Arabidopsis thaliana: one gene and its partner. The protein of the gene in region 2 interacts with the protein of the main gene of each other region in a pairwise test. Each region holds a gene or a part of one and is shown on either strand. Other genes may lie near its edges. The genes, in order: CA1 and AT5G25260.

Region 1 (6,383 bases), on a different chromosome or scaffold from region 2:
TATAAAGTATGCAAAGTCATATCGCCTTGAGGCACATTATGTGCGTTCATGCTTTCATTTCCTACCGCTCTAATCAGTTTTGATATTTTGGTGCCAGGGATGCAGATTCCTTTGATCTTAGGAAGAAGCTACCACTTTGTGTTGGGCTCTTACTACGGTTACTGAAAAAGAACCATCGTGTCTTTGTAACTTGTACCACTGGTTTTGACCGGTCATCCGCTTGTGTGATTGCTTATCTGCACTGGATGACTGATACCTCTCTTCATGCTGCTTATAGTTTCGTTACTGGATTGCACGCTTGCAAACCTGACAGGTTTTTATCCATCTTATCTCTGTCTTGACCATTAACCTGCAGACCATGGATAGCTTTTCTGTTTTAATGAAAACATCAGACAAGTTATATGTATTTTTTCACAGACCTGCAATTGCTTGGGCAACATGGGATCTTATCGCTATGGTGGACGATGGCAAACATGATGGGACTCCAACACACTCTGTAACCTTTGTGTGGAATGGACATGAGGTGACTGTTGCTTCACATGCTTTTATTACTTTGCTGCAATTCTTTATGGAACTCGTGATCTGTAGGGTTGAGCAACTAGCCTCTGTGTTTTAAGTTACACCTTGGTTTACAGGGGGAGGAGGTATTGTTGGTTGGGGATTTCACAGGAAATTGGAAAGAACCGATAAAAGCAACGCACAAAGGCGGTCCACGTTTTGAAACTGAAGTTAGACTTACACAGGGAAAGTAAGTCATGCTTCTTTTACCTTTCCCGTTGATGCTTTTTTTAAGGTTCAACAGTAAAACGTCTCATAATCTTCCCTGCATGTTAATTGTGACTTTTGAGGGATTGCAAACTGCAAAGAAACTTATGAAAATGCATTTGTGTCATATAACTTGGTGATTATTGACAATGTGGCAGATACTACTACAAGTACATAATCAACGGTGATTGGAGGCATTCAGCAACTTCACCAACGGAAAGAGATGACCGAGGAAACACGAACAATATAATTGTAGTTGGTGATGTTGCTAACGTCAGGCCTACAATTCAACAACCAAGAAAGGTTACTCCTACTATGCAGTAGTCTCTTCTTCATACAATAGGAAAAGCTTGAATAAGATGTTCCACGTTATATTTGCCTGATTGGTTCAAGACATAAACCTGAAGCAACTTGTACAATGTTTTGCAGGATGCAAATATCATAAAGGTGATCGAGAGAGTGTTAACAGAGAGCGAAAGATTTAGGCTGGCGAAAGCAGCTCGGTGTATCGCATTCTCAGTTTGTCCAATAAGACTATGCCCAAAGTCGTAGAAGTTTTGTTTTGGCATAAGTTAAAATGTTACATCCATTCTTCTGTCTCTATCCATTCCTCGAGGTACTTAACCCTAATATCGTTGTGAACAACATTGCCACATTCGCGCACTCTATGACAAGAGAATGTTGACATTATGTTGTGTGTTTGCATGAAAAAATGTCGACATAGTTTCGCCGTTGCCCACTTTACATATAAGTCCCAAAACCAACCCTAATGCGTTACTGGTCTCTGTATTTCTTCTTCATTTTCTCTCTCTCTCTCGCTCTCTCCTAACATGTTGAAGAAAATAGAAACTCTGTTATCTAATGTTGCCTATATGATGATTTATGGCCATGGAAGGTCTGAGAGGAGAGACCCTTCTTCTCTATTTTTTTTATTTCCTCTTCATTTTCATGCTAAGAGTTTTCACTGAGTCTGTTGTTTCGTAGAGTAGAACAGTCCATGATCGATGTTAATCCTTTGCATCTTCTAGATTGTGTATACAATAGCAATCTCTGGTCTAGAGAGAGCCTAGAGAAGTATGGATCTTTCTATATGTATACCACAAACAAATGGCCTAACATCTAAAGTGGGTGGTGATTATTTAAGATGAGAGCCTGAGAGGGTAAGTGAAAGAGGCTGATCCTTGTTTTCATGATAAGGGACCTTATCCTCTAAACCTTTCTGAGACCTTTTATTTTTTTATAAAAAAAAGAATTGAAAGAAGAAAAGAGCACGTAAAAGTTTTGAAATCTTGAGCTAATATTCCTCATCCACAAGAAAAGAAGAAAGTTTGTTATTCACCGCAGCTATCGCTTTCGTTATCCTCGTTCCCACAACCTCACCATGACCATGAGACTCCGTTCTTTTAAACTCCCAAATCTTTCAACCAATCCCATTATTCACTTAAGTATATAGTAGCTTCCATAAGAGTCTTAGTTCTAACTATAAATACACATATCTCACTCTCTCTGATCTCCGCTTCTCTTCGCCAACAAATGTCGACCGCTCCTCTCTCCGGCTTCTTTCTCACTTCACTTTCTCCTTCTCAATCTTCTCTCCAGAAACTCTCTCTTCGTACTTCTTCCACCGTCGCTTGCCTCCCACCCGCCTCTTCTTCTTCCTCATCTTCCTCCTCCTCGTCTTCCCGTTCCGTTCCAACGCTTATCCGTAACGAGCCAGTTTTTGCCGCTCCTGCTCCTATCATTGCCCCTTATTGGGTATACATTTTTACATTCATCACTGTTTCTTAACCTACATTATTTCTTACATAACTTACATTGCTGTTTACGTATAATAGGGGTACATTACATAGATAGCAAACTAAAGTTACAGAATTTTAAAATTTGTAAAGATTTTACGAAATTATTATATAGATTCTGCAATTGCCATTTTAGTGATAGGAACAAAAATCTTCTATAGAAACTAGCTTACGAAACTTCCACAAATCTTGGAAACTGTCACATGTGTTTCACATTTCAGTTTTTTTTTCCCTTGGTATTTCCTTATATTATCCTTACTATTATCATCCGTGTTTGACTTTTGGTCTTTAGCGTGGTACTGAAAGAATTACCCAAATTAACAAGAATCAAACTAAAGTTGCTTAATTAGTGAATCACAAGCAAGGGAAGAGTTCATTTTCAATCCTTATTCTATACAGATCTTCAAACTACTTGCTTCGACATCTAGTGAAGTTAAAAACAAATCACCTCGAAATATTAAAAGCGTTGTCTCATTCCTACCCAAGATCCGACATTTTTGAAATTTTGAGAGTTAGAACGTACGTAGGATCCACGTGATAAAAGAAAAGTTGCTAGTAGTAGCTTCAACAAAAACGATTCATGAAACTGAGACGTGTGTGTATGCACATGTACCATATGAGAGCGTGTGGAGCATAGTGGTGATTAAGTCGCCATCTATATTTATTCATTCAACCTACCGATTTGGTTCCTACTAGCGAAAATAAAATCATAATATAAAAGACTATAAAATTGTACTTTATCGTATAATGAAGTTCTGAACAGGTTGATTGTAGTTTCAACATTTAAAACACGTCATGACTCGCTCTCTACTTAATTACGTTCACGACAATAAAATATACTAGTACTCATTTTCTTCTAATTTTATTTGGTCAACCAACTTGCAGAGTGAAGAGATGGGAACCGAAGCATACGACGAGGCTATTGAAGCTCTCAAGAAGCTTCTCATGTAAGTATATACATCTTTTCTATTCGCATGCATACATTAATACATGATTAGATTAATAAAAGCTAAAACATTATTATAAATTAGTAACGGGATTTTTCAATACTACTTAATTCATAATTTTTGTGATTTAACTATAAATGTATATAAACATATGGCAGCGAGAAGGAAGAGCTAAAGACGGTTGCAGCGGCAAAGGTGGAGCAGATCACAGCGGCTCTTCAGACAGGTACTTCATCCGACAAGAAAGCTTTCGACCCCGTCGAAACCATTAAGCAGGGCTTCATCAAATTCAAGAAGGAGAAATACGAGTAATATATATTTCTATTTCATTTGTTTGTTCTTAATTATGTCACCAACTAAAGTGGTCTAGATTAATTAACTGGTTCATATTTATACTTTTATTTGCAGAACCAACCCTGCTTTGTACGGTGAGCTCGCAAAGGGTCAAAGTCCTAAGGTAAATTAAAAATAAAACTAATACTATGTGTATATCATGGTTGCTTATAAATTAAAAATGAAACATTAAGAAAAAGTAATTAACAAAGGTGTGTGAATGGTGGTGCAGTACATGGTGTTTGCTTGTTCAGACTCACGTGTGTGTCCATCACACGTTCTGGACTTTCAGCCAGGAGATGCCTTCGTGGTCCGTAACATAGCCAACATGGTTCCTCCTTTCGACAAGGTTAATAATTTAACACGTCTGTCTCTCTATAGATATAAACTCTTCTATCTTAAACCTTCTGCCTCTTGAGTCTTGACTTTTGTCTTGAGAAGTCGTGACATTCACTTTCTATTTTCATTTTTGGGTTGCTAAATTGGCAGGTCAAATACGGTGGCGTTGGAGCAGCCATTGAATACGCGGTCTTACACCTTAAGGTGAAAATAAAATAAAATAATTAACACCTTAACCAAAAAAAATTATTTATCAAAGTACATGTAATTAATTTTTGAATGAATTTATTACTGTAGGTGGAGAACATTGTGGTGATAGGACACAGTGCATGTGGTGGGATCAAAGGGCTTATGTCTTTCCCCTTAGATGGAAACAACTCCACGTAAAATATCTCTATATCCATTTTATTAAAATTTAATCAATTTTAATAACAGGATTTATTAAATGAGATTAGTAAAAAATATATACGTTAATTGCAGTGACTTCATAGAGGACTGGGTCAAAATCTGTTTACCAGCCAAGTCAAAGGTTATATCAGAACTTGGAGATTCAGCCTTTGAAGATCAATGTGGCCGATGTGAAAGGGTATACAAACACATGTTAGATCGATGAGCTGATCATATATAACAATATAAATGTATTGATAAATGCAGGAGGCGGTGAATGTTTCACTAGCAAACCTATTGACATATCCATTTGTGAGAGAAGGACTTGTGAAGGGAACACTTGCTTTGAAGGGAGGCTACTATGACTTCGTCAAGGGTGCTTTTGAGCTTTGGGGACTTGAATTTGGCCTCTCCGAAACTAGCTCTGTATGAACCAATCCATCATCATCATCATCATCATGACCATCCATCATCATCATCATTATTATCATCGTATATAATATATATCTACCCCATATGTAATTTGTAATGTGCCTTTGACTGTGATGAGTTATCTCTCCCTCTCTACCAACTTTCTTCATATATATAAAACAAAAAGGAAAAGCAGATGATATAGATCTTTCGTGGTTTAATTATGAACAATTGTCTTTATTATTTGTGTATCAAATCGGTTGTATTTATGGTTTGATTTTATTTTCTATGTTGTTTGGTAGGTTAAAGATGTGGCTACCATACTACATTGGAAGCTGTAGGAAACTCTTTGAAGCCTTACCCGATTTCACATTGTCAATTCAATAACACCAAGTTGTTGTTTACATGCAGATCTTGATGAAACTGGTTTTTGATTTTACAGAATTAAAATCTTGGGGGACAGAAATTTGAATAAAAACTAAAAAAAAAAAAATCAAAAAAAAATCATTGAATCGTAAATAAGGATATCCGGGACGGGCGGATCCGGATAATGAAAAAAATGAACCCGGATATCCGGATCCGGTACCATTAACTACATGAAATAAAAAGGCTTGGAAACCCATTTAGCTAAAAGCCCATATATTTAACAAACCAAATATTTTTGATACCCAAGCCCAATTAATTATCACTTGCCGACACAAACACAAAATCATTCTTTGAAGGTCACAAAATCATTTCGATCTCTTCTCGATATCTCACAAACCCTAGAACTCTGGATCTTTTAATTTCTGGGTTCGATACCCAAATCCTTAAAACTGTCGAATTCTGGTACCCGGAACCCGGATATCCCAGTCTAACAGATCCGGATGCGGATAGTGAAACTGTAGATTTGTAGCTTCGTAGTTTTTTGGTCATATAAAATATAAACATCTGAAATTTGTCTGTGTATGTTGCTGTTTAAATTTGTCCGCCTACACATTATGGGCCTAGGCCCAAGTTTGCAATTCTTTATTGTGGCAATTAAATGGTCAGGTTCGGTTTAGGTTTTACATATCCATCATGAAAAAGCACCGTTGAACGGGCTTAAATCTTTGTCCAAGGACGACGTTTATGAATCCGGTATAAATCGATCGAAGAAGATTAAACCCACAAAACGAAAAGGCTAAAGCTTGAGGAAAAAGTAGCAAAGTGACCAAGAGTCCCATGATTTCATGAAGACATGAACTATATATATCTACTCATTGATTTGATAAATACATTATATTTGATGTTACATATTTTTATTTGAGATTTCTAATATATATTTTCAGAATGATAAATTTTATTTTTATATTTATCTTGAACTGATTTTTAAGAGAAAAATACACCGAAAGAAAGCGAAGAGTTAATTGCCTACCAAAAAAAA
Region 2 (4,498 bases):
TGACAAGTACATCATACACTACACTTATGGATGTGATTATGATATGAAGGTAAGCTTTCAAATTCTGATTATGATTTATAAACAATAGGACAAAAAATGATAAATACAAACTTGAGAACTTGTTTACTGAGATTAGCATATGATTTGAAATTGATAAGAGAGGGTTGTAAAACAATGATTGTGATGATTTCAGGGTAAATTAACTTATGGGAAAATCGGGGAATGGAGATTTGACAAAAGATCGTATGATAGCAAACCACCACCAAGGAACCTTACAATGCCTCCACCTGGTGTTTCACAAAGTGTGGTATGTTTACATGTCCTGCCTTCATTTTTCTAAAACACATTACCCATTTTATGTTCCAGTCGGTGGGCCGAATTACGCGGCAACTTCCCTGCGAATGATTACAAACACAGCTCAGTTCTCTTCATTAATGTATTGGCAGGTAACACTAGTGAAGATGATAAATGAAGCCACGGCCAACATACCAAACTGGGGATCATAAAGAGACAGAGAGAGAGAAACCGTAATCTATATGTACCTGTGAGTTGCTCCTTTCTTTTCAAAATACCTTGTCCTGCTCTTTAGTTTCTCCTTTGGTTGTGGCTAGGTTTGTAACATATATAGTGATTCAAACAAAGCATTTCTTTGGCATTTTACTTCTCTAATTCAGTCTGGTCTCCACTAGATTTTGTTGTCCTCTAGCATCTCAAAGGATAAATTACAATAAGCCTAGACTTGATACACACATCAAACACCACTCAATATGTACATACATTACATACTACAAAATAACCTTATGGTCTCTGCAAATTCCTGAAAATTTGTCTCTCATTTTTATTTCACATTCAACATATATACGAATACAATTAAAGTAAAAAATACAACCTCAAACACTTACGAATAAACCAAGTTTTCCAACGGGATTAAAATAAAATAACACTTTACACTTTCAATGATTATCAATCACAAGTAACGACCAAACCATGGCATCAACCTCTTAGCTGTCGAGGCGGTCACTTGCTTAGAGTACCGATCCAAGCCGGCGGCTGCATCCCAGTCTGCTCGTAAACTGTATCGAGAACCGGAGGCAGCATCTTGTAAAGTCCAGCTATATCCTTCATACCACTCCCACTAGCACCACCAATCCCCTGTTCTCCACCATGGTTCCAAACGCTAATCTTGGGCTGCAAGTCTCTGACCGCAAGCGCGTTAGTCTTAGCAATCTCCTGATAAGTGCCATTGTTAATCATCAAAAAGTCTCTAAGACAAGAATAGTCATTCTGAACAGCGTCTAGGAGGGTTCTGAGATAAGTTCCTTGAGCACTGGCTAAAGCAACAAGTCCCTCTGCTTCTTTCTGCTTTGAGTAGAACGTAGCGTCTGCTTCAGCTTTCTGTGCCTCGGCTTGCTTTTGCTTCTCATATAGAACTGCCTCCGCTTGCTTCTGCTTGTTGTACAATTCCCAATTTGCTTCTTGAACCTTGGTTTCATACTCAACACTGGCTTTGCTAAGGAACTCGGCTTTGAGCTTCTCTGTTCGAGTCAAAGCGTTCATTTTCTCGACCTGAGTCTGAAGCTCAGCTTCTCTCAAAGCCACGGCCTTGGTTGCTTCAACCTCAGCAACCTTAGCATCCTTGGTCCAAGCAGCTTTCTTCATAGCTAGCTCGGAGTTGGCCTTAGCTACATCAGCTTCCTTCTGATTCTCAAACACTTTAACCTCAGTCTTCACTTTGATCTCCGCCTTCGTCCCTTCTCCTTGCCTCTGCATCGATATGATCTTTGACTCCGCGTCAATTTTCGCAGCGTTCTGTAGCGTAAGCCCAGTCCGTTCCTTGGCACCGATCTCTCCCTTCATCTTGGCCTCAGCCACATCGATCCTGGCCTGATTTGCTGCTTCCATTTGGGTTTTCTGACCCAAGTAAGAGAAGTACTCATGTCCAGGCACGTCAACGAGCTGTTTCACGTTTGCATTGTAGATTACGAGACCAAACTGGTCTAATTCTAATTGAACCTTATCAAACACTTCCTTCTTAAACTCTTTCGTCCCTTCAAATCCATATAAACAAAAAAAAAAACCTTTTTAATCAAATCGTTCAGAAAATTCATTGTATTAGTATGGCCTAATGGTTTGTGTTACATTGTGGCAACACCAAATGTTTTGGGACCAAAAAAAGTATATAAGTTACCTTTAAAGATCTCTTCCATGGTCATGGAAGCAGCGAGAACACGAGTCTCTCCCTCGATAACACCTTCAACAAGCTCATTCACATGATTTGACTGTTTGTCATGAGGCGAAATAAGCCTAGCGTACAGAATCAGCGCTTCAGTGTCATCGACACGAGGGCCGATAGTGAAGACAGCAGGGAGAACGAAAGGGAGCTTCTCTGCACTCATGGCTTGGACTTTGAAAGTGTAGTTCACGGGAGATACGTCGAAAACGGTGCACCTTTGCCATGGAAACACCCATGATTTCTTCGAGAGCTTGATATCTTCGATCCCACCACCGGTGATGGCTAAGTACTGTGATGCTCTTGCAACCTTGAACATGTCTAGGATCTAAGGATTTGATTGCTTTTCGCCAAAATGATTTTGGAGACGAAGAATGAGTAGCTGTACTTGTTTTTTTGTTTCGTGAGAAGTGTTTATATATTACATATAGTCGTTGACATGTTACAAGACTTTGTCTGTCACTGTTAGAGAAATGTTAAAGAAATTTCACAAACTTGTATATATCACAAAAAAAAAGGATGATTGTGAAGAATGTTTCATTCTTGACTTTCTATTTAGATTTTGTCAAGCTGAATTGTATTGCAAAAAAAATCATATTTGTTAAAATTTGATGAAATTGTCTTTGATAAAATTCAAGATTTATATGTATGAACACGGTTTAGCAAAAAAAAATAAAAATGTATGTACACGATACAGCAAATACATAAAATTCAAAATCTTTTAAACTATAGTATATTTTTCTTTTTGGTAGGGTAAACTATAGTATATAAGTACACCATATATAAACCAAACAAAATAAATCATAATTCATTAAACCAATAGATGTAGATCCTAATCTCGGATGTTTACGTATAGCATATAGTTACATCTTATATTAAATGTTGACCATGACCAAGCTTATATACATTACAATTTTCATTTTGATAATAAGACGTTGAGTTTGCCAAAATCTCTTCAAACTTGTTTGACTATGACATATGATATTTTAGAATAAAATAGGATCGGAGACTTTTTGCAAATTCCTAATAAGATAAAACTTCAACCCACTTCCAAGAAACTACACATGAAGAAGACTTCAGATAGTCAGCTAGTAGCTAGCTGCTCCTGTCCTGGTCGATGACCCAAGCGCGTCCTAATTCTCCAAATGACTATTCCTACCTTTCACCTTCCGCTAGACTACACGCATAACACAATTCTTAGTCAGTCAGTCAGTGGCTAGATCACCTCCCATCAGACTATGCGCATAACACCTTCCATTCTCATGATGTGTTTTTCCGCCAAAACCGCAAAATTTTATTTTCTAGCCACCATCCGAACCAGTTTTCTCCTATTTAGCCCACATATCGGAGGGCGTTGATTTTGGTTGTTCCCGAAAGGACGAGCTATCGTTCTTTGAATTTGAAATAGTTCAAGACTCCAATATATAAAAATGAAATAATTCTCTGGTTTTGGTTATTCCTCATTTTAATTTATTTTCAACATATACGAATACGATTCAATTAAGAATATCAATAACACACTTCAAAACACACACAAGAATAAGCCAAGTCCTCCAACAGGATTAAAATAATAAAAAATTACATTCGCATGGATGTATCTTCAACCACAAGTAAACGACCAAACCATGCCACTATTCTCTTAGCTGCGAGTCACTTGCTTCGGTTCCGCACCACGTAGAGTACCGATCCAAGCAGGTGGCTGCATCCCAGTCTGCTCATAAACCGTATCAAGAACCGGAGGCAACATCTTGTAAAGTCCAGCTATATCCTTCATAGCATTCCCACTACCACCACCCTGTTCTCCACCATGGTTCCAAACACTAATCTTGGGCTGCAAGTCTCTAACCGCCATCGCATTAGTCTTAGCGATCTCTTGATAAATACCATTGTTAATCATCAAGAAGTCTCTAAGACAAGAATAGTCATTCTGAACAGCGTCTAAGAGGGTTCTTAGATAAGTCCCTTGCGCACTAGCTAAGGCAACAAGTCCCTCTGCTTCTTTCTGCTTTGAGTAGAAAGCCGCATCCGCTTGCGCTTTCTGTGCCTCGGCTTGCTTTTGTTTCTCGTATAGAACCGCCTCTGCTTGTTTCTGCTTGTTGTATAGTTCCCAATTTGCTTCTTGAACCTTGGTTTCATACTCAACACTAGCTTTGCTAAGGAACTCAGCCTTGAGCTTCTCTGTTCGAGTCAAAGCGTTCATTTTCTCGACCTGAGTCTGAAGCTCAGCTTCTCTCAAAGCCACGGCCTTGGTTGCTTCAACCTCAGCCA

The links.
Region 1: the proteins of AT5G25260 (region 2) and CA1 interact in a protein complementation assay, tested with the Arabidopsis thaliana proteins (one large-scale study listed by BioGRID).

The regions. Positions count from the first base shown.
Region 1 is NC_003074.8:193,789-200,171, reverse strand, and holds CA1 (carbonic anhydrase 1), read left to right. Parts: upstream 1-2,011; 5' UTR 2,012-2,298; coding exon 2,299-2,520; intron 2,521-2,607; exon of another isoform or gene 2,608-3,324; intron 3,325-3,446; coding exon 3,447-3,508; intron 3,509-3,666; coding exon 3,667-3,816; intron 3,817-3,916; coding exon 3,917-3,965; intron 3,966-4,073; coding exon 4,074-4,190; intron 4,191-4,330; coding exon 4,331-4,384; intron 4,385-4,477; coding exon 4,478-4,563; intron 4,564-4,660; coding exon 4,661-4,766; intron 4,767-4,834; coding exon 4,835-4,993; coding exon of another isoform or gene 4,994-4,999; exon of another isoform or gene 5,000-5,280; coding exon 5,281-5,319; 3' UTR 5,320-5,746; downstream 5,747-6,383. Other genes in the region: LSF1 (uncharacterized protein), read left to right, coding at 1-6, 98-313, 418-523, 636-748, 924-1,068, 1,195-1,317. UniProt on the Arabidopsis thaliana protein: Reversible hydration of carbon dioxide. Required for photosynthesis in cotyledons. Binds salicylic acid.
Region 2 is NC_003076.8:8,750,802-8,755,299, reverse strand, and holds AT5G25260 (SPFH/Band 7/PHB domain-containing membrane-associated protein family), read right to left. Parts: upstream 2,617-4,498; 5' UTR 2,550-2,616; coding exon 2,189-2,549; intron 2,049-2,188; coding exon 1,018-2,048; 3' UTR 778-1,017; downstream 1-777. Other genes in the region: AT5G25265 (Hyp O-arabinosyltransferase-like protein), read left to right, coding at 1-49, 194-307, 447-506; FLOT1 (SPFH/Band 7/PHB domain-containing membrane-associated protein family), read right to left, coding at 3,870-4,498. UniProt on the Arabidopsis thaliana protein: May act as a scaffolding protein within caveolar membranes, functionally participating in formation of caveolae or caveolae-like vesicles.